4 linked regions of the Macaca fascicularis genome follow. The protein of the gene in region 1 interacts with the protein of each later gene in a biochemical or structural test. Links are inferred from orthologs where the notes say so. Each region holds a gene or a part of one and is shown in the gene's direction. Other genes may lie near its edges.

Region 1 (5,917 bases):
TGGGCAAGATGGTGAAACCCAATCTCTACTAAAAATACACACACACACACAGAGTCAGGCAGATAAAGGAGAAAGAAGGTGATCTGAGGCCAAAGGGTCAAAATGAGCAATGGGACAAAGACAGATAAAAGTTCCAAGTGTTCAGGGATGCAGCCGTGGATAAAAGATTCTAGCTAGGCAGCAAAAAAGCCTAAGGAATTTAGGCTGAGATATTAAGGCTTTGTTTACAAAGTATAGGGGAGCCACAAACCACTATAGCCCAGAAATATCCACAAGGAAAACCCTTTGGTCATTCAGCCCCAACAGGCACTTAGGCCCTGATTATTTTGTTTAAACAATTTAGGCCGGGCGTGGTGGCTCACGCCTGTAATCCCAGCACTTTGGGGGGCTGAGGCGGGCGTATCATGAGATCAGGAGTTCGAGACCAGCCTGACCAACATGGTGAACTCCAGTCTCTACTAAAAATACAAAAATTAGCCGGGCATGGTGACACGCGCCTGTAATCCCAGCTACTCAGGAGCCTGAGGCAGGAGAATCGCTTGAACTCGGGAGGTGGAGGTTGTGGTAAGCCGAGATTGTGCCACTGCACTCCAGACTGGGAGACAGAGTAAGAGTCTGTCTCAAAGAAAAAAAAAAAAAAGAAAAGAAAAACATTTGTGACGACTGATTTAGGCATTTATTCAGTGTCAGTATCATAGCCTGCAGGACAAACCTAGAGAGCACACAGCAGTATTATGTGGGAAGTCTCAACTATTAACAAAATATATAAAACCGCTATCCTACATTGAATCCCCAAATCTTCTAACATCTTGTTTTTTGTTTGTTTGTTTGTTTTTGTTTTGTTTGAGACTGAGTCTCGCTCTGTCACCGAGGTTGGAGTGCAGTGGGTGCGATCTTGGCTCACTGCCACCTTGGCTTCCCAGGTTCAGGCGATTCTCCTGCCTCAGCCTCCCGAGTAGCTGGGATCACAGGCGAGTAGCTGGGATCACAGGCGTGTGCCACCACGCCCGGCTAATTTTTTAATGGCCAGGCTGGTCTCGAAATCCTGACCTCAGGTGATCCAACTACCTTGGCCTCCCAAAGTGTTGGGATTACAGGCATGAGTCACCGCGCCCGGCCAATTCCCCTAACATCTTGTAGCCTCGGAGTCAAAGACCTTACTGGTTTTGATAGATACCATCACCACAACAGTCATCAATAAGCACATGAGTATACTAGATCAGGGCTGAGTTATAAAAATTTACCCAAGGAGGTGGTCCCCTAAAAGTCGATTTTTTCTTTCCCCCTGACAGGTCCATCAATAAAGTATCAAGAGATTATCGGCAATATTACAAATCACTGAAGTCTGTGTGGGGTTTTCTAGAAGCTGAGCCAATTATTTACTTAATTGTCTAACGATTAACGACACCCCTTCTGCTTTCTGGGCCTGCGTTTCGTAATCGATGACCTGAGAGGTATAAAGTAATTTCAAAAAAAAAAAAAAAACACAAAAAACGAAAAACAACAAACCACCCCTCGGAACAGAGGCTTATCATGTGAGCACCCAGACAAGCCAGCTTCAAAATGAGGTGAAAACTACAGTTCCTCTTCCGTTTATCAGAGTTCTAACTGGGACCACCGTGAACCACATCTACTGCCCGAGGGGCAGGGACGGCTGCTTCAGTCCCCGGGCTTCCCGTTCGGTCCCTTCGCACCGCATCTCCCTGAGGCCGCTACTCCCGCCGCGCCCGCCCAGGGAACTGCCCCGCCAGCGTCGTACCCGCAGGTTGGCTCGGAGACCCAGACTCTTGGCTAAGTTCTGCAGGTCACTGTACTTGAGGGAGTCCAGCTCCTCTAGGGAGGGGATGATCATCGCGATTCAAAATCCCGGCGATACTCAGAAGATGGATCACCAAGTCTCGTAAGCGAGGTTCAAATCCCTGGCGCCACTCTTAACTTTGACTAAGCTGAAATTTATAGACAGTTTAAATGAAGAATGCCGCGCTTCCATTGGTTGAAAATGCCTCAAAGGCGGGGTTTCTAACCCTGACCAATAGAAAGGCTGATTTCCCGTCCCAACAGTCGCGCGCTTTTCTCACACTTCACGAATACGCAGGCGCCGAAGGGCCTGTAAGACCGGTTCAGGTAACGAGTGCGCGGACTGGGACTCCAGTGCTTGGATTGCCCACGATGTCCAATGAGGACGCAGGAGCTGTGCTTGGGGCGGGGCCTGGCGTGTATTCGAAACGACGGCGCCGGCTGAGAGAAGATGGCGTTTCAGCCGCGGCGGCATCGCTCCCCTTGTGCAACGCCGCCCCAGGGTGACTTTTGTGATGGCACTGAGAGGGCGATTGACGAAGCATCTTTTACGACCTCCATGGAGTGGGATACACAGGTGGTGAAGGGGTCCTCGCCGCTCGGCCCCGCAGGGCTGGGGGCTGAGGAGCCGGCCGCCGTCTCGCAGCTGCCGTCTTGGCTGCAGCCTGAGAGGTGCGCTGTTTTCCAGTGCGCACAATGCCACGCCGTGCTCGCCGACTCGGTGCACCTCGCCTGGGACCTGTCGCGGTCCCTTGGGGCCGTGGTCTTCTCCAGTGAGTGCAGTGAGGCGTTCGGGAAAGGCAGAGGCTAGCCCGAGAGGTTGTTCCCGCCTTCTCCACCTGGGGAAGAAAACGGAATGAAAATTTGGAAGCACATAACTCCTTGGCCTGGGGATGGGGCAGGGAACTGGGGAGTCTCCTGACATTTATGGCGGGGATGAGTCTGTCTAGAGGAGAGATTTTCCATTTCAAGGCCCGCAGAGTATGAGTTCTGACCCGTGTTTGTGTTCCTAGGAGTTACAAATAACGTCGTTTTGGAAGCGCCCTTCCTAGTTGGCATTGAAGGTTCACTCAAAGGCAGGTACGTATTGATAATTACAGATTGGTCTCTAGTCCCTGACTTTATGAGACTGAGGAGCGTGGAACTGACATGTACTTGTTGAGCAAGTCTGTTGACAGCATTTCCTTTTTTTTTGTTGGTTTGATTTTTTTCTTTTTGAGATGGAGCCTCACTCTGTTGCCCAGGCTGGAGTGCGGTGGCGCGATCTGGGCTCACTGCAAGCTCTGCCTCCCAGGTTCACACCATTCTGCCTCAGCCTCCCGAGTAGCTGGGAAGGCATGTGAAGTCATGCCAAATTGTGAATATGAAGAAAAAAATGGGGCCGGGCGCGGTGGCTCACGCTTGTAATCCCAGCACTTTGGGAGGCTGAGGTGGGTGGATCACATGAGGTCAGGAGTTCAAGACCAACCTGACCAACATGGTGAACCCCCATCTCTACTAAAAATACAAAATTAGCCGGGCATGGTGGCACACACCTGTAATTCCAGCTCTTTGGGAGGCTGAGGCAGGAGAATCACTTGAACCCGGGAGGCAGAGGTTGCAGTGCACTGAGAACACACCATTGCACTCCAGCTTGGGCAGCAAGAGCAAAACTCCATCAAACAAACAAATACATGGAAATTAAAAGTGCTACTCCAGTTATAAGCTGATATGGAGGAAGTTTGAGTGGTATGAGTAGAAGATCAAACCAGCCACAGCATTCCTTTAAACCAAAGCCTAATCCAGAACAAGGCCCTAACTCTCTTCAATTCTGTGAAGGCTGAGAGGTGAGGAAGCTGCAGAAGTTTGAAAGTAGCAAATGTTGGCTAGGTGCAATGGCTCATGCCTGTAGCCCCAGCACTTTGGGAGGCCGAGGTGGGTGGATTGCTTGAACCCAGGAGTTTGAGACCAGCCTGGGCAACATGGTGAAATGCTGTCTCTACAAAATACAAAACAATTTAGCCGGATGTGGTGGTGCACACCTATAGTCCCAGCTGCTTGGGAGGCTGAGAAGGAAGGCTGGCTTGAGCCATAGAGGTCGAGGCTACAGTGGAGCTGTGATTGTGCCACCACACTCCAGCCGGGGTGACAGAGCAAGACTATCTAAAAAAAAAAAACAGAGGTTGGTTCTTGAGATTTAAGGAAAGAAACCTTCTCTATAACAAAAGTCCAAAGTGAAACAGCAAGTACTGATGCAGAAGCTGCAGAAAATGAAAGTGGGTACACTAAACAACAGATTTTCAGTGCAGATGAAACAGCCTTCTATTGGAAGAAGATGCCATCTCAGACTTTCATAGGTAGAAAGGAGAAGTATTACCTGGCTTGAAAGGAGCTGGTCACAGTGACTCACACGTGTAATCCCAGCACTTTGGGAGACCAAGGTGGGAGGATTGCTTGAGCATAGGAGTTCAAGACCAGCCTGGGCAACATAGCAAGAACCGATCTCTACAAAACATTTAAAAATTAGATGGGCATTATAGTGTGCACCTGTGGTCCAGCTAATTGGAAGGCTGAGGTGGGAGGATCACTTGAGTCTGGGATGTCAAGGCTGTAGTGAGCTGTGATGGTACCACTGTACTCCATCCAAAAAAAAGAAAAAAAAAAGCTTCAAAGGACAGGCTTTCTCTCTTGTTAGGGGCCAATGCAGCTGATGACTTTAAGTTGAAGTCAATGCTCATTTACTGTTACTATCTATAGCTACTATAGATAGTTATTCCTCTGATGGATATGGGCAAAGTAAATTGAAAACCTTCTGGAAACCCAGCTAAATTTTGTATTTTTAGTAGAGACGGAGTTTCACCATGTTGCCCAGGCTGTTCTCAAACTCCTGGTCTCAGGTGATCTGCCCGCCTCCCAAAATGCTCAGATTATAAGCGTGAGCCATTGCGCCCGGCCCAGTAAATTAATTTCCACTGACACATTTGTTTATAAGTACTGTGCTTTGTCTGAACTAATTAATTCCTACGTGGAATTTCAAATTAATGACACTTTATTTCACAGTTTGCTTTTTGGTTACCTATATTCACAAGATTACTATATGTGTGGTGTGGGACTTCATTTACCAATAAACCTAATATATTTTGTTATTTGTTCTTTTTTAGTATCCATTGACATGAATATTTCTTTTTAGCTATGTGTTTTTTGTTTTTTTTTTTTCTTTTTTAAGACGGAGTTTTGCTCTTGTCGCCCAGGCTGGAGTGCAATGGCACAATCTCCGCTCACTGCAACCTCCGCCTCCCCGGTTCAAGCGATTCTCCTGCCTCACCCTCCTGAGTAGCTGGGATTACAGGCACCCACCACCATGCCTGGCTAATTTTTGTATTTTTAGTAGAGACAGGGTTTCACCATGTTGGCCAGGCTGGTCTTGAACTCCTGACCTCTGGTGATCCACCTGCCTTGGCCTCCCAAAGTGCTGGGATTACAGGCATAAGCCATCATGCCCGGGCTAGCTATGTGATTTTTATGTTGTATTTTGTTAATAGAATTCTGCTAGCCTGGGAAGTAAGACCCCATTTCTTCCAAAAAAAATTAGTAGGGCATGGTAGCATGCACCTGTAATCCCAGCTTTGGGAAGCTGAGGCAGGTGGATCAGTTGAGCCCAGGAATTCAAGGCTGCAGGGAGCTATGATTGTACCACTATGTTCTGACCTGGGCAACAGAACAAGAACCTGTCTTAAAAAAAAAAAAAAATTCTTCATAGCATACTCTATATTAATATAATTAATTTTTCCTTTACCAAAGCACTTTAAAATTGCCTTTAGCACATGCATGATGAAATACTTTCTTAAAGTGCTTTTCTTTTAGAAAATTTTTTTGGCCGGGCGCGGTGGCTCACGCCTGTAATCCCAGCACTTTGGGAGGCCGAGGCGGGCGGATCACAAGGTCAGGAGATCGAGACCACGGTGAAACCCCGTCTCTACTAAAAATACAAAAAATTAGCCGGGCGCGGTGGCGGGCGCCTGTAGTCCCAGCTACTCGGGAGGCTGAGGCAGGAGAATGGCGTAAACCCAGGAGGCGGAGCTTGCAGTGAGCCGAGATCGCGCCACTGCACTCCAGCCTGGGCGACAGAGCGAGACTCCGT
Region 2 (6,091 bases), on another chromosome or scaffold:
ATCCACAAGCAGACAGCCCGGCGCCACACCCTGGGCCTGATAGTTAAAGATCAACCCCTGACCTAATCGGTTATGTTATCTATAGATTACAGACATTGTATAGAAAAGCACCGTGAAAATCCCTGTCCTGTTCCGTTCTAATTACCAGTGCATGCAGCCCCCAGATCACGTACCCTATGATCTATTGATCACGACCCTCTCACACGGACCCCCTTAGAGTTGTGAACCCTTAGAAGGGACAGGAATTGCTCACTCGGAGAGCTCAGTTGTTGGAGACGTCTTACTGAAGCTCCCGGATGAATAAAGCCCTTCCTTCTTTAACTCGGTGTCTGAGGGGTTTTGTCTGCAGCTTGTCCTGCTACAGCATCACATGAGAAGCATGGTGCAGGGTTCTTCTTTCCTTAGCTGGAGCACCACTTTGGACCATGGGATGGGGAAAGCCAGTCAGAGACGATTGGAAGACCAGCAGGCCAGAACAATAAGGGTTAATGCATGGACTTTGGCTGGCTCAGAAGGAGTTTGGCTAAAGCAAGTAGGTTTTGGACTTCAATTAAAGACTTGAACTTGAGATTGAGAAACCTTTCCACTGAAGCTGCCCCCAAACTCCTAGGACAGAGGCAGATGCTTGGATTGTCAGTGAAGCCAGGAAGGGAAACCTTGGAATGGTTTCCCAGGAATAGAGAATAAGCCCTGGGAGACGCCAGTTTTGAAAACTGGTACTATTGTGCTTGTTAGAGTCATGGTGAGGCAGGAGAATAGGGAACTGGGGTAGCCAAGGGTTGAGGCATAAGCAAAGTAATAGCAGATGCAGCCAGTTCACATAAGCAAGAGAACAGCAGGTGCAGCCAGTTTTAAGCAAGATTGGGCAGGACATAGGCCACATCTTCACTCCTGTGATAACAAGAAAGAAGTTTCCACTTCAGCCCCTGAATAACTGCAGGCCAAGTTTCCACTTTAGGCTCTGATTGGTCGCAGACCAATCCTTCATAGGGTGTAACCAATTGGAGGCCTCTAAAGGATACCCGGAGTGTTGCCAAGTTATTTTGGCTTCATAAAAGCCCTAATTGAAGAGGCTCTTGAGCCAGGTGCTCTAGCCCGCTCTCACTCTGCGAGTTCTCTTCAGTGAATCTGTGCTCTCCTTACTCCGTTCTCCTGTTGCTCTGTTTTTCGTTGCTTCATTCCTTTGTTACTTTGTGTGTTTTGTTCAATTCTTTGTTCAACAGGCCAAGAACCTGGACAGCTCTATCTGGTAACAATGAAAGAGTCAATCGTCCAAAACCCAAGAAGAAAAAAATCTTATTCAAGGTCCCAAGTCTCTAAATGGGCCCAGTTAGATGTTTGAAAAGTAAATTATGTGTGGAAGCACAGTCCGAGGAAGAACATGTTAAGTTTCTGAACACTCCTAAGGAAGGAGGAGGAAGACACCTCAGCCTGTTTGCGAAAATTGGAAAAGATACAAATTAAATGTGTAGATCCTGCAACTGGAGAAGACTGAGAGGATGTTTATATAGGGAGGAAGGGAGGGAAAGAAACAGGATTGGTAGGTTACCCCATCCAATTCCGTGGAATTGAGAGCTCGGAAGATAAAGTGGCCCAGGGTTTTCTTTCATCAGACTGAAATAGTACAGCCTTCCTGTTCCCACCTGGATCAGTCACTGGCGCTGGGCCACCCTGGGGCAGCAGGATCTTGGGTGAGGGAGTTCTCTGCAACTGAATCGTCCCAGAATAGGCTGACAACTGAAGGCCCCTGCCAACTGCCCCCCAGCAGCTGTGGCATCTTAAGGGGAATGAGGCCAGCACATCTCTGTGTCCAGCAAAACGCAACACATTTTGTGGTCACACACACTACATGAGCCCCAAAGTTCTCACGCTTCCCCCACCCCCACCTAAATTTCTGCAGGACATCATGATAGAATTGCCGTGCAGGCTGAAAGGAGGTGAAGATCCCCCTCTAAGGGACCTCCTGGTGCTCAGTAATGCTTTTATTTTCAATCACATACTATGGTAATCACATCAGCACAAGCACACAAATGTGGTTAAGTCACCCTGTGTTTCCTTAGGATTGACATTCCTAAGATGTCAATCACAAATTCCATCAGCCATACTAAAGACTGATTTATCTTGCTCTTCTCTCTGGAGAAAATATTACAAGATTAATATCAATGAAGAAGCAGAATATGCAATCAGAAATACATGGGGGAAAAGGTGGGTTAATACAAGTATTTTCCTGGCTTTTGTGATGTGTATGGCATTTGTCAGCATCTTTAAATGTGTCATTCGTTGAGACTTATTTTTTCTTTCGCTATCCTGCCTCCTTTTGGGTTGGTAATTTGGGGTTGTCTTTCTTAGGCCCCTGCCCTCGAAACCGCGCCGGGATCCCAGGCGGGCGAGTGAGGAAGGCGGCCCCCGCCCGGCGGCGACACCTAGAGCAAGTCACGCAGAAATCTCCAGGCCGTACTTATCTCCGGTGCACAGCGCGGGAGATGACACGCATCCCACCGGATCTCGCACAGCCCCGCTGATTAACAAGCACAGAGCCGTTGGAGCAACTTCCACCCACCTCGGCTACCGGAGACCCTCCCTCCCTTCCGCCGGACACGCTTCTTGGGGCGTGGCTGGAAACTCGGGCGTGGATTGGCTGGGAGGAGGGATGCAAATTTGTTTGAAAGGCCCAATCAGCGCCCGGCTTCTCCGCGCTGGCCAATAGAAAACCGAGAGGAAGGCAGGAAGGGCGAAGTCGCTTATTTGAGTGTGCGGCGCGCCGGGCCCTGCGGTCCGGGTCGCCGCTGGGGTAGCGGGTAAGTCTGCGGCTTGGTCCGATTCTGGGTCCGCTGCGCACCATGGAGAGCGAGGACGTGGAAGACGACCCGCTGCTGCAGAAACTCAGGGCCAGTCGCCGCCGCTTCCAGAGGCGCATGCAGCTACTGATAGAGAAGGTGCGGCCCCCGCCGGTCCGCCAGGAGGGGAGGCCTGCGGGTCGGAGTGAGGCTGGGAGGGGACGTAGGACGGGAAGGGAAGGGGCTCTGAGGGCTCGGAGCGGGAGCTGGGGAAGCGGGACTGGGGCTTGGGTGCGGAGAGAAGGTGGAGGCGGAGCTGGGGGCTCCAGAGAGGGAAGGAGGAGGCAGCGCCGAAGGCTTCGGAGCGGGGACTGGGAGGAAAGACTGCGGCCTCCGGAGCGGGGGGAGTGGGGAAGCGGGACTGGGGCTCGGGTGCAGAGAGGAGGGTTTGGTGGGGCTGGGGGGCTCCTGAGTGGGACGAGAGAGGCGGGGTTGCGGACTCCGCTGCGGAGACCGCGTTTGGGGCGCCCCCGGCCAGACTAACGGCCTCTCGCGGGCTGGCGCCGCCTCCGCCGGGGTCTGAGGCCCCTGGGACCTGACAGGAAACCCCTCCTCCTCCACAGTACAACCAGCCCTTCGAGGACACCCCGGTGGTGCAAATGGCCACGCTGACCTACGAGACGCCACAGGGTAAGCGTCATCCTCCCCTTCTGAGTATTCGGGTGAAGAGTGCGAATGGAGTAGTTGAAATGCTGTCACTGCTGTTTTAGGAAGTAAACATTGTTCACCTAATAGGAACCAAAACATTGGTGCCCTTAAACCTGTAAATTACTTGGATTACTTATTAAAACAATTCCTGAAGAGACATAGGTGCCTCCTGGCTCGCACGCCTCCGGCTTGCCGGGTTGGCATCCCCGCTGGCCATCTCCACACCATGGCAGCTCGGGGCAGTTGCTTAGCTGGACTGGTCTCAGTGTCTTCATCTGTGAAATGGGAAGGATGCTGACAATAATGTCTCCTGGGCAGGGGTGTTGTAACAGTTACGTACAATCCCTGTGAAACTCTGGGAACAGTACCCACCCTCCACTGCCAATACTCACTTTGACTATTGTTTGCCCTGTTTAACTTGGAGTAGTAACTGTCTTCCTTGAGGCTCCAAGTACTTGAATAGGGAGAAGGCATTCCGTTTAATAGTTAATGTAACGGACTGAAATCTTGTGGATTCTTTTTGGTAAATAGCTGGTGACAGTTTGCACTGGCTGGGGTCAATTCCTCCCGTATAGCTTTATAACTAACTCAGTATCACTTAATGAAAACAAACCTCACAGCACGTTCTGTGTTGCATTAAACAGACGGGCACAAAAGGTTCACAAGATCTGCTCCTTGAATTAAAAGAAATCCTACCTTTCCGCCTTTATAGGCAATCCAGGCGCATCTTGGGTGAAAAGTTTACATAGGCAGAAACTAAAATATTCCAGTGGCAGGTCTCTGTATAACATGTAGATTGCCCTGAGAAAGCATTCATTCCGTATATGGGATGTAGAGATTGCCTGCGAAAAGTGCTTACTCCCTCTAAATAGTATATAGATTGTCCTCTCTTTATGTATTTTAAGGACAGTTGCTGTCACATATGTTCCTTGTTTTCATGTAACTCTTTGGGCTAATGATGTAATTTGATGAGCCATTGCCTAGTAGGTAAGAGAGAGTTCCATCAATGACACATTTGCCTTAAAAACCTGAAACTTTACAAAGAGGAACAACAGCAGGGTATCAGAAGCCTGGCTTGGTTTTAATTTTGTACCTTTTTTTTGCCTGTCACTTTGGCTTCCAGTGAACACAGATTGAGCAGAAGTTCAGCGTTCAGGATTATGTCAATGGTCATTTTTGTTTCTTTTCTTCAGGATTGAGAATTTGGGGTGGAAGACTAATAAAGGAAAGAAACGAAAGAGAGATCCAGGTATTTAGTGTCAAATTTTATTGCCACATAACCTTGCTGTGGAGGAGCATTGATGTGAATAAAGGTGTGGGTGTGCCCAACCTCTGAGCTTATGCAGAGGCCACCACGGGGCACTTCTCACCTTGATTATACTCTTTTTCTGTTTTTAAGGATTTAGAAGCGTTTCTTCTGTAGCTTGTCAAGTGCAAGGAGGCACTGTGTAATGTTTGGCCTTTTTTGTCACCCTGTGTTTCCTGTGTCACAGGCTGAGGGGCTCTGATAACACACATGCAGAGGCTGGGCCAGCTGGGTAACCCTCCCCAAGGCCACGTGCCAGCCCAGCGAGGGGCTCACAGAAAAGACCAAATCCAGTTCCTTCTAGGGAAGAAGAATGTCTCTCTTCCTGTTTTGAAATGGGAGGAAGAGAGACGAGGGGAGGCGCGGCCTGGAGGACCACACATCTTTCCCTCTGCATTTGTCTACCTTCTGAAGACCCGGGTTTCCCTGCCTAGTTGTTCCGAGGGTGTTGCAGCTCTGAGACCTGTTATTTTAGTGGAAGGTGCTGTTGCCCTTTCTACAGGGACATCCAGGAGCCCTTTTGCCACAGTGGCTTTTGCAAGGTTGTCTGGTATTCAATTAATCACTGCCTCTCAGATGCCACATGGTTCCTCCCTGTGATCACAGGTCAAGGAACCCGTACCCAAGAATGAAAACATCAAGGTCAAGGTGACATAATATTAACAGCAAATTTGAAATCAAATCTTCTTGATTAATTATTCTAGTCATGGAAATGTTAAAAGTACATACAACTACATAAATGAGCTGATTTCTCTCTGCAAAGATGGTCACTAATGCTATTTTAGTACAATGTGATTCCCTATAATACACATCTTCATAAATGCATTTTTTTCTCCTTCACTTTTCCAGTTAATACATATGGCGAACTCATCAACTATTGTATAATTATAAAATTATATAATTATTTTAAAAATCATATTTTTTTAACTGCTCTCCTGTTGATAGGCAATTAGCTATTTGTGGCTTCCTTTATTAATAAATAAGGGTCAGCACACTTTTTCCACAAAGGGTCAGATGGTACATATTTTAGGCTTTGCTGGCTGTATGGTCTCTGCTGTAACTACTCAGCTCTGTGTTGCAGGGGGAAAGCAGCTGAAAATAATATGTAAATGAGTGTACGTGGCAGTGTTCCAATAAAACTTTATTTATAAAGCCTCTGTTAGATATGGTTTTCAAAGAAAATCCTGGTCCTTATCTCTTCCCAATACTGATATTTCCCCTTTTCAGTAAATTCTGAGAAGTGGGATTATTGGTTTAAAGGATATATACTCTTTGAATTATACATAATAGAGATGAGCAC
Region 3 (6,161 bases), on another chromosome or scaffold:
ATCTAGAGATTGGGTGCTGTTTCTCTGTGATTCCCTTACTCAGATTAGGAAAAACTGAACTTGACAAGGTCAAGTTTTTATTCTGAGCCAATCCCTATTGCCAGGGGAGCAGCATGGGTAGCCAGGGGTAGGTGCCATCCCTGCCCCAATCACTATGGAAGAGTCATGGTCATCCCTATTGATCGAGTTAAACCTATAGGGACTCATTCCTGGAACTGGTGGTGAGAGTGGTGGAGATGGACTCAACCTTATCCAAATCTCCTAGTTATATAACTAGGAGGTATGGTGAGAATGTAGTTTAGGAAGCAACTACAACCACGAAATATGAGGTCATCTTATTCAAGCATCTCATTTTGTCCTCCCTCCATAAATAGGATGATTTTGTGGTTAGCTGAGGTTTTTGTTTTTTTTATTTTTTTGAGACAGGATCTCATTCTGTCACCCAGGCTGGAGTGCAATGGCATGATCACAGCTTACTGCAGCCTCGACCTCCCAACCCCAACCCATCCTTCTGCCTTCGCCTCACAAGCAGCTGAGACTACAGGGGCGCACCACCATGCCTGGCTAATTTTTAAATCTTTGTAGAGACAGAGTGTCTCTGTGTTGCCCAGGTTGGTCTCAAACCCCCGGGCTCAAGTGACTCTCTCGCCTCAGACTCCCAAAGTGCCGGGGTTACAGGCATGAGCCACCAAGGCTAGTCTTGTTTTTATATTCCTAATATTAATACACACACACTTGTGCCTATAGAGGAATTCATTTTGCACCAGCCAACTTCTCCATGAGGTGCAGGAGTCACCATGCTTACAAACCATATTTTGAAGGATCATGAAAATGTTTCCATTTTTTAAATCAGGAGAAATAAATGAACTTATAGGTCTAAAAATGTTTTATGATATCATTTTAATATAATTATCTTCATAGCAATGTGACTATATAATGAAATTTTTGTTAACTGTTTTATGGAGGGAAAGGCCTACCGAGGCAAAAATAGGGTCCCTGAAAGTCACCATGCAGCTCGGCCTTGTATTCCTTCTTTCCTGGGGCACCCTATCATAGAATTAAAGTATTGACAATAGGAACCCAAAGCCTGAGACAAGATGATCCTTTGAATCCCAAAGTAACTAGCCACTTAATTAAAGAACTCATGTGGATTGTATCAATGTTGCACCAGATATATTATGCTTGAAAACAACAGTCCAGGAAGGTCAGGCTTGGCTCCACAACAGCAGAAGGGGCAAAGTATGGTGATGCATGCCTGTAGTTCCAGCTACTTGGGAGGCTGAGGCAGGAGGATCGCTTGAGGCCAGGAGTTCGAGACCAGCCTGGGCAACATACTGAAACATCATCTCTGAAAAAATAAAGGAAAAAAAGCAGAAGGAAGGAAGGGAATTCTATGGGTGGAAAAAAAAAAGCCTAAATTATCTAAAGCATTTTCTTCCAGTAAGAAGCTCATTAACATGAGCATGGTGTGCTAGGGTTTACAAAGTATCTTCATGAATATTAGAAAACTTGATCCTTATGAACAACTTGGTGTAGTACTGAAGAAACAGACTCCATTTACTCCAGGAAGAATCAGACTCAGGAAAGGCAAACAGCCTTTTCCACAGTTCCCTACACTGTTACTACCTTGTGGAGGGAGGGGTAAGTTAACCAGGACCACTGACTCCAAAGCTTTTGCTTTTTGCTAGTGGCTGTAAGTACGTAAATAGTTTATGCAACCAAGCAAAGTAGGCAGTGACTTGGGGGACACCCAGCGCGTAGTGGGAACAGAGGTAGGTCCTTGCAGGTAGCTTTCTTCCCAGGTATGCCACCAGGCTGTCTCCGGTGCATAAAGCTGGCTGGTTCCCCGTCAGCTTTCCCTCCTGACCTATGGTGTTTTAGGCAGAGGCTGGCTTTCTGGGGCAGCTGGGGAAATCTGTCCTTATCATCAAGAAGGGATGCTTCTTCCTTGCAAGGACGAATTATTCCTTGATCCAAGCAGCAGGCACACTTCCAAGCTTTCCAGGGGCATGGCTGCTTCCTCAACTTTTTCCTTGCAGTGACAGCCTGAGTGATCCGGGGCCCTTCCCAGGGTCTCATTCTAGGAATAGCAATGCGCAAAAAGACCCTGTGACGAGGGGCTCCCCTATCCCCTTCCTTCTCCACTTCATGGAAAGGAGGCCCCCAGGAGCAGACAAAATAGCGCAGTGTTCATCAAAAGTGGAGTCGCTTATATGCAACTATAATTAGTCCATTTACAAAAAAGAAGAAAAAGGGTGGTGGTCTGGCACAGTGGCTCACGCTTGTGATTCTGGCATTTTGGGAGGTCGAGGCGGGAAGATCGCTTAAGGCTAGGAGTTCGAGACTGGCAACATAGAAAGACTCCTCCCAATCCCCCAAAAAAGGTTGGGCTGCCAATACTGACAGCGTGGGCAAGCCTAGGAGCTTGTTAGAAATGCAGATTCTCGGGCTAACCTGCTACCTGCTGAACCAGAGTCTGTGAAGATGGAGCCTGGCGATCTGTTTAAGAAGCTCGCCAGGTGGTTCTTAGACACTCAGGCTTGCAGCCCGTAACTTTCTCAGTGACGCTGCCCCTCCCACGGAAAGGGGTGAATAATCCTTAGGAAGACAAGCAAACAGGTCAGCAGCGTCAATTTCTTCAGGCTGGAAAACCTGACGCAGGCGCAGTGACTAACACGCCAGGCCAAGGACGCACGGCGCGCATGCGCACTAGAAGCGGCCCGCCGTCCGGCCCCTTCAAGCGTTTGCCCCTTCTCGGCCTCCGCCAACGCGCCCCGCCCCGCGCATGTGCAGCGGCGGTTTTTTTTCCCTTCGCGCTCTGGGGCGCGGGCGGTTTGTAGGTAATGGCGGGCGTTCGGGCCCTGAGGTGCAGCAGAGGATGCGCTGGCGGCTGTGAGTGCGGCGACAAGGGCAAGGGCAGCGACTCCTCGCTGTTGGGCAAGAGACTCTCCGAAGACTCGAGTCGCCACCAGCTGCTGCAGAAGTGGGCGAGCATGTGGAGCTCCGTGAGCGAAGACGCGTCGGTGGCCGACACGGAGAAGGCGCGGCTCGAGGAGGCGGGGGCTGCGGAGGAGAGGCCGCTGGTGTTCCTGTGCTGCGGCTGCCGGCGGCCGCTGGGCGACTCGCTGAGCTGGGTGGCCAGCCAGGAGGACACCAACTGCATCCTGCTGCGCTGTCAGTTGGGTCGAGCCGGGCATGGGGGCGTGGGGTCGCCTTCTTCCAGGTGTGCCGCGCCGGGGCGGCCCCGGAGGGGGCGGGGGCTCCTTGGCGCTGTCCAGGGACTTTGAGAGTAAAAAGTCTGAGAGTGTGAGCTGTCGCAGGAAAAGGGGAGGAGGGTCACCCCTCCACTTTGGTTCTCGGGCGACTGGTTCTGTTCTGGGCTCCCCGATCCCAGAAGAGCAGCGGTTGAGTCAGCATCATCGTGAGCATTACTCAGAAGCAAAGGGCAACAAAGAATAACACTCTTAAAGACCCTAAAAAAAGAGAAACAAATGGTCAACTAGACTGTAAGCACTTGAGGTGCAGCCAGTACTATTACTCCCCACAGAAATTAGCGGGCTGTGTGTATCAGCGGATACCTCTACAGTCTCCAGTGATAGGGCCGCGGAGCTGACGGAACAGTGCTATGGGGAAGAAAGGGAAGGAAATTTGCCGTAAAAGCACCACCAACCTCATCAAAATTGGCGAGGAAGGAGGACGTAGCAAAAGAGTTCAGAAGGCGGCGGGAATTCGTTTCTAATCCTGGTCCTAGCAGTTACCTGTTTTTCCTCTGTTCCCTCATTTTGCTATTTTTACAGTATTTAGGGATAAAGTGGTTCACATATTTTTTCTCAATTGGTGTAAAAATGGCTGTTGTTTTGGATTGTGGTTTTTCAAGATGAGGTTTTTCCTGTCTTTGAATACTGTAAATGTTTCGATGGCAGAAATTCATCACCGGCTTATCGACGTTTCTGGAACGTTTTCCTTGGTGTAATACTGGGAATAAAGGAGCACACCAGTGTCCCCTAGTTAACTGAAAGTTGAGATAAACTCTTTGCACCTCTTAAAATCAAACTAGGCCAAGCGCGGTGACTCAGACCTGTAATCTCAGCACTTTGGGAGGCTGAAATGGGCGGATCACGAGGTCAGGAGATCGAGACCATCCTGGCCAACATGTGAAACCCCATCTCTACTGAAAATACAATTCCAGACCACCCTCGCCAAAGCCAAAAATTAACCGGGCATGGTGGTGTGCGCTCGTAATTCCAGCTATTCGGAGGCTGAGGCAGGAGAATCGCTTGAATCAGGGAGGAGGAGGTTGCAGGGGCCGAGATTGCGCCACTGCACTGCAGCCTGGCAACAGCTCTAGACTCCATCTCAAAAAAAAAAAAAAGAAAAGAAAAACCAGGCAGATTTTTGATCCAGTAGGAAAAGCTCTTTGAATGAGTTTACCTTGTTTACATCTTTTTAAGAAATAACATGTTTGGTGTTACATCTTTCATTTTATTTGTACTTTGTTTCGATAGTATCTTTTACCATGTGGCCTCTTTTCTTTGTTTTGCTTTACTTATAGAAAGGCAATTATTTTTGTTAATTTTTATATTAATAGTTTTTAAATTTAAAACGTAGTTTTAAAATAGTAAACATAGTTTAAAGAACTATACACTTTTTGATTAATCAGATTTAGATAATAGGATTTAACATCTCCCCGCCCTCCCCCCCACCCCCGTAAAGACAAACATGAATTCTGATTCATTTCCATTCCTTCCTTACCCAATTTGAATTAGTTTAATTATTTTCATTTTGTTAAGGTTTATACATTTACATTCTGTACATTTACATTCTGTTGTAGACATAACAGCCTTACTATGATTTTTTAAAATAGGGTTAATTATTTAATAGATTATTTTTTAAATAGGGTTATAGTGGGTTAACAGCCCTCTGTTGCCCAGGCTGGAGTACAGTGGCACAATCATAGCTCACTGTAACCTTGAATGCCTGCTCAAACTGTCCTCCCAGCTCAGCTTCCCAAGTAGCTTGGGACAACAGACACAAACTAACACCTGGCTAATTTTTAAATGTTTTGTAGAGACAGAGTCTTGCTATGTTGCTCAGGCTGATCTCAAACTCCTGGCCCCAAGCAATCCCCTGCTTCAGCCTCCTAGAGTGCTGGGATTACAAATGTGAGTTAGAGCACCCGATCCTATAATGTTTATATAATTTTTTTTCCCAACTCCAGTACTCATTAACATAAGAAAGCTTCTTAATAGCTTTTTTCATTCCTGAGTTGTTTGCTTAATCTTTAGTGCTCCCCACGTCCACATCTCCAAGAAAATTTCAAGTTTATGTGCTTGAAAATATTTTCCTGTTTTTATACGTGAATGCTAGCTGGGCTGCGGGTACAGTTCTTGGTCATGCTCTCTGCTTTTGATAGGTGCTGAGCAGCTGGTGCAAAATCCTTGAGACTAGAGTATGGTCAAAGAGAATAAAGATAAGATTTAGGGAGGAAGGAAGAGACCAGAAACTGCAAGACGTTTTAGTCTGTTCTAAAGAGTAGTAATCTGTTCTAGTAAGTACATTATTATGCTAGCTTAGGCAGGGGAGTAATATGACCCTGCATTTTCTTTGGAGAAAGCATTGAAGGAGGAACAAGTATGGAAGGGGGGAGGTCAGTGAAGAGCCAGGGTAGTAGTCCAGGCAAGAGTTAGTGCTGTTCGTTTGGGGGCTGGAGTGAGGTTTGTGACGTAGAATTGATGGGATGGATCAGTGGAGTAGATATGGGGGAGCAAGATGAGGAGATGAAGAATCAAGGATGACACCCTGGTTTCTGATTTCAGCAAGCAGGTGGATGGAGTTTACAGAGTTCAGGTAGACTGTAGGAGGCCATGAAATCAAGAGTCTGTTTTGGCCATTTTAGGTCTGATGTCCTTTCTTCATTTCTCTTCACCCTCTACCCTGTCCTTTAGTGTGTCCTAGACCTGGATTCTTTGGGAATGTTTGCTGCTGCCTCGAGTCCAGCAGTGACCTCTGTCCAAGTCATTGTTCAAGTAAAAGATGTGTGGCTGGGATCCTGAGGACCTTCTCAGTTACTTTTAGAGAAATGGGCCCTGTGTTGGAAATCTGGAGATATATGTGTTGGCTGTTTGCATCTTCCTAGTTTGGGAACCCAGTTTCACTAACTG
Region 4 (5,238 bases), about 95 Mb from region 1:
AGATGGAAATACATTTGAGGTCAGGCATGGTGGCTCACGCCTGTTATCCCAACACTTTGGGAGGCCCAGGAGGGCAGATTGCTTGATGAGCTCAGGAGTTCAAGAGCAGCCTGGGCAATGTGGCGAAACCCTGTCTCTTAAGAAAAATACTAAGATTAGCCAGGCGTGATGGCACGTGCCTGTAGTCCAAGCTACGTGGGAGGCTGAGTTGGGAGGATCACGTGAGCCCAGGAGGCTGAGGCTACAGTGAGCCATTATCATGTTACTGCACTCCAGCCTGGGCGACAGAGTGAGACCCTGTTTCAAAACAAGAAATACATTTGAAATTAATTTAGGCAATTGTTGTTCAACCTGTGGTTAAAAGTATGACAGTTAACTGAAAATTATTAAGTTGACTTAAAAATATTGTTGACTTAAAATTATTTTGTATTCAAACAGGAATGATTGTGATAAATATGTTTATCGTATGCAAAAATATCATAAAAGTAATGGTGGTATTGTCTGGGGCAACATCAAGAAAAAATTAGTAAGTATTTTTCTTTATCCAACACATATCTATGAAACAACTTTAATATATGATAAACTGTGGTAGTTATAAGTGATGTGACAGTCCCTGTCCCTAAAGTGATTATAATGTAATAAGTTACAATAATGAAGCCATGAATGAGGTAAGTACATAAGTACTGTAGGATTACAGATGGCATTACATAGACTGAAACATTGGAGCAAGGAGAAAATGGGTAAAAACTTTGATTTTTGGGAAATGAAGGGTGGTAAAAATATACACAGGTCTGGGAAGGATATTTCAGGCAAAACACAAAAGCTTATCTGTTCAAGGATTAAAGAATAATTCAGACTGAGTCATGATTCTCATAAAATAAGACATTTCATCAAATCCTATGTAGCTTTAAAATGGTTTCAAGTGTTTTTCAGATGTAGCTACTTAATTTTATTTTTTTATTTTTTATTTTTTTACATTCTAACATTTAAAATCCAACTACAGAAAAATTTTTAACTAAAAGATGCCTTAATAGAATTATCTGTATCCCTCAGAGAAAAGATTAGGACAATCCTTTATCCCCTTGAATTACTTTTTAAATTTTTAATTTTCTGATTTTAATTGCAATAACTGATAATCAGATATAAGTACTAGGATTCTGAAAAAAGTATTTCATCTCAAATTTCGTCAAAGTAAGTAGCTAATCTCAGAGAATGGTAACTTACGGGAACCCCCTTGAGTCCCTTGCTTTATGACACTGAGCAAGTTACTTAAGCTTTCTAATATCATTTTATTCATGTGTGGTATGATAATGGGGATCATGATTATATTGATTTATGTTACCAAATGATTTTGAGGGCTAAATGATATGATATAGTGTTTTACCTCATGTCAGAAAAAAATACATTTATATCACAGTCTGTGAGCATGAATTTGTATCTCAAAAATTTCTTCAAACAGTACTTACTCTTAGTATAGGGGCTATTATATTTTTTATTGTTACTTTTTATTTTTAAAAGATTTAATGATTGCCAGCCATGGTCAATAGTTTGATAAGCATTGTAATGTGTGTGAGCATGTACTTCAAACTTGCCATTTACATTACCATTTTAGCCAAGAATTTCAAATACAGAGAATTAAAATTCTGCTAGTACAAAACATTGTACTGTTAAATTAACAGACTGTAGGTAAAATACAGTAATTACTATTCTGTATAGTAATTACTATACTGTAATAGTATTGTAATTATAATTACTATATATAATCATGATAAATTTTGTTTATATTTTACGTTTACTAAACCAGTATATTCATTACCTAATTACTTAGTACATTTTGGCAACTTTTGGAGGCCCATAGACTATCCTTTTAACTGCTATAGCATTAGTTTATAGTTATGAGTAGTGTTTGCCAGCAGTGGAAAACAACATTGAGTAAGTCATGGTTCTTGCCCTGAATAAACCCAAAAGAGAATTAGGCATTTCACAGATAATTATAATGTGATTAAATGTTGTTATAGGCATAGTAACCTATAGTTCAAAGTAACCTGGGGATAAGCATGCTTAATTTTGTCTAGATTTGAGGTAGATTTCACCAGGAGGTACCATTTAGCTATTAATAGTAACTCTTTTATAGGTTGAAACTGATTTCTCAACTCCAACACCAAGGAGGAGAACCCCACTTAACACAGGTAATATACTTACAGCTTTCTTTTGTGGCTCAGTTCTATTATAAGGTAGATTCTTTATTTAAATGGTATTAAAATTAATTGCTCTCAAGTGGACAGACTTAGCATTTTATTCCTTATAGTTGTTTTCAGTTTTATTGAAAGTACTTTTAGAAATTTATTAATCTTTTTATTAAACTTCTCTTCACAGATTTAGGAGAAAACTCTGGTATTGGAAAACTTTTCACTAATGTTGTGGAATCTTTAGATGAAGAAGAGAAAGATTATTATTTTTCAAACTCTGATTCTGCATAGTAAAATGAGAAAATATGATTCCTGGGATTTTTACCATAAAGCAGACAGTGTGTTTGTATTTTCAACTGGAGTACATGTATTTTCTTTGTAAAGTAGCTTCCTATGAAAATGTGGACTTCTTTGAAGGTTTTATGTGTTTGTGTTCAAACTAAAATATCCTTATTGCTGCAGCTTACTAAAAATGTAAAGAAAATTGTTTTTGCTTGTGTAGACATCTGTACATTTGTTTTTGCATATTAAAATATATAGATACTTTTTAAATATGCATCCAAGTCTTTTTACTTTAAGAAAAACATTTCCCAAACAGATTTTTTTTTTTTTAATTTCAAGAAAATTTTGCTACCATTTAAGTAAGTAAGGGAGGGTGAGAAGGGTGACAGAGGTTGTACTGGTAGCTATTGAATTCATGAAAACTTTTAAGTTAGCATTTGTTACCAGTTATTATCCAAGCCAGAGTAGGATTTGTTACCAGTTGTTATCCAAGCCTAATGTTTAAATTACACATTGTTGGAATTAAATTACACATTGTTGACATGCTCCTCTCCTGATTGTTTTTATTTTATGTGATTGGCATATCTATGAAACCTATGTATATTTAGTTTATTGCTTTGCCATTATTTTACTAGATATTTATTTTATTTTACTAAATAATTATTTTACTAAATAATTATTTACTATTTTGTTCTCTAATTTTTAAGTGTTATTTACATATGCAGATACAGCTTAAATATTTTGACTAGATTAGACAGTTAATAGATCCACCATTAGTAATCAATATATTATGTCATAATAAACATCCTTTTTCTTTCACTGAAATTTCGTTTAGAAATAAACTTATTTTCGCTTATTATGTTTTGAAACTTGACATATAGGATATTTTCCTTCTGGCTACACATTCATCTACCTTTGTTCTCTATTTAGATTATTCAAATAAAGTTAGTTTGCTTTTATAATATTTGTTTCTTGTTTTTTGTTTGTTACTAATTACTGGGTGATAGAAATAAAAACAAATCACGAGTGGTCCTGTTTAAAGTTTCCTCAAAAGAAAAAAAAAAAAAGTAACATTTTCTTGTTTCTTAAGTGTTTTAGTCAGAGCAGGCCTGGTGTCATATACCTGTAGTTTCAACTACCTGGGAGGCTGAGGAAGGAGGATTGCTTGAGCCTAGGAGTTCAAGGCTGAAGTGTGCTATGATCATGCCTGCAACTAGCCACTGCAGTCTAGCCTGGGCAAGAGAAAAAGACTCCTCTTAAAATAAATAAGTAAATAAAATAAAATAGTAATAATCAGCAGTTGTATAATTACAGGACTCATGGAAACACTGTAAAAAGAACAGTGCAATTGGACTAAGATTATTATTTAAACTACTATGATTATTTCTGCCATAAAGACCATTGGTGGATATAGGATGGATCAAAAGAAAGGTTTATTTTGGAGTGGCCAAAAAAAATGCTGTTGTATTACTTGAGTTGCCAATACTTGATCTAATACTATACTGCTTGGAGTTAATGGACAGTGTTTTAGGAGTTAAGAAGGTGGTTAAATCCCTTAACAAAAAGTAAAAAGGTAATTGAAATGGCATAAACTTGACTCAAATCAAGAGTCTGACCCCTACTGCCTATATATTCCCTTGTCCTATCAGAACTCCTTCAGCGCCTTCCCTATTCTAAGGTATCTCACCTGCCAGGTACCTGGTTTGTCCCATTTCTATCAGGTCATAAGATGAACTAATAATAAAGTTTAAGGTAAGTAACCTCCAAAGGAGACTTAAAAGTGGAAAAGAAAAAGACCTTAAGGACTTAAATAATAAGATGGATAATCAATGGTTAATGGCTACCAATAAGAGTATAGGAGGAGGCTATTGCAAGCCTAAATATGGATAGAGCTCTCCACACAGAAAGCATAAATAAATGAAATCCTCTAGGTTATGTCTGTAACACCATGTTAATGTACATAATTTTTTTTGTCTGATGGGTACACACACAGCTGAGTCTGAGCATGTGGTATCTCTGAGGTTGAGGGACTGCATGATTCTGGCATGCAGCTGGGGCAAAGTACCACCAGATGCCCCTACCCACAGTCCCTGCTGACAATGTAGCAGCAGCATGATGCATGAAGATGTAGCACAGTGGAAGGAGAAAGGCTCCTTTCCTCCTGTCAAAGCTTAGCATTGTGCTCACTACTAAAGGAGAAATACTCAAAAAGTCCAGTTACAGAAAATTGATAACTGCACACTAGGCAATAACTTACAGTGTTTCCTCTCTCTGGTTTTGACAGAATTATTGAGCAGTAGACATAAGAAGTCAGCTGCTTTCAGACAAGTTGAGAGTTGATACTATCTCAAAGGAGCTAAGCAGAATAACTTTTTTGTCCCCTTTTACCAACACCATAGAGTGAAAGAGAATCATATCTAGTTTCTGGGTTCTGCTTCTAGATTTGCCAGCCTAAACTTGAATAAGTCACTTGTTTCTGGGCATCACTTTTATCATTTGGTAAGAAAGGGAAGAGAAGTGATTTGAATTACATGAGCTCTGAAGTCCCTGCCAGATTTAAGGTGAGGAAAGCTCTCTGCGGTGAGGCTGGTTCAAGTACCCAACAATGTAATAGGGGTAAAAATGAGGCCGAGAATAAAGGACTCACATAATTAAAGGCTGCTTTAGTACTAGACTGACTAGAAGAAAGATGTCATATATATTGCAGATACAAGCAAAGCCTTCTTTTTTTGTTTTTGTTTTTGAGATACAGTCTGACTCTGTCGCC

Evidence for each region.
Region 2: the proteins of OIP5 (region 1) and HJURP form a complex in vitro, tested with the Homo sapiens proteins (2 studies listed by BioGRID). The link is inferred for Macaca fascicularis from reciprocal best matches to the Homo sapiens genes OIP5 and HJURP.
Region 3: the proteins of OIP5 (region 1) and MIS18A form a complex in vitro, tested with the Homo sapiens proteins (3 studies listed by BioGRID). The link is inferred for Macaca fascicularis from reciprocal best matches to the Homo sapiens genes OIP5 and MIS18A.
Region 4: the proteins of OIP5 (region 1) and MIS18BP1 form a complex in vitro, tested with the Homo sapiens proteins (2 studies listed by BioGRID). The link is inferred for Macaca fascicularis from reciprocal best matches to the Homo sapiens genes OIP5 and MIS18BP1.

The regions. Positions count from the first base shown.
Region 1 is NC_088381.1:17,879,853-17,885,769, reverse strand, and holds the start of OIP5 (protein Mis18-beta), read left to right. Parts: upstream 1-2,218; 5' UTR 2,219-2,248; coding exon 2,249-2,570; intron 2,571-2,810; coding exon 2,811-2,877; intron 2,878-5,917. Other genes in the region: NUSAP1 (nucleolar and spindle-associated protein 1), read right to left, coding at 1,760-1,852. UniProt on the Homo sapiens protein: Required for recruitment of CENPA to centromeres and normal chromosome segregation during mitosis.
Region 2 is NC_088386.1:129,792,812-129,798,902, reverse strand, and holds the start of HJURP (Holliday junction recognition protein), read left to right. Parts: upstream 1-2,773; 5' UTR 2,774-2,840; coding exon 2,841-2,936; intron 2,937-3,400; coding exon 3,401-3,467; intron 3,468-4,678; coding exon 4,679-4,734; intron 4,735-6,091. UniProt on the Homo sapiens protein: Centromeric protein that plays a central role in the incorporation and maintenance of histone H3-like variant CENPA at centromeres.
Region 3 is NC_088377.1:14,602,772-14,608,932, forward strand, and holds the start of MIS18A (protein Mis18-alpha), read left to right. Parts: upstream 1-2,820; 5' UTR 2,821-2,843; coding exon 2,844-3,174; intron 3,175-6,161. UniProt on the Homo sapiens protein: Required for recruitment of CENPA to centromeres and normal chromosome segregation during mitosis.
Region 4 is NC_088381.1:113,243,754-113,248,991, reverse strand, and holds the end of MIS18BP1 (mis18-binding protein 1), read left to right. Parts: intron 1-438; coding exon 439-526; intron 527-2,134; coding exon 2,135-2,189; intron 2,190-2,376; coding exon 2,377-2,480; 3' UTR 2,481-3,433; downstream 3,434-5,238. UniProt on the Homo sapiens protein: Required for recruitment of CENPA to centromeres and normal chromosome segregation during mitosis.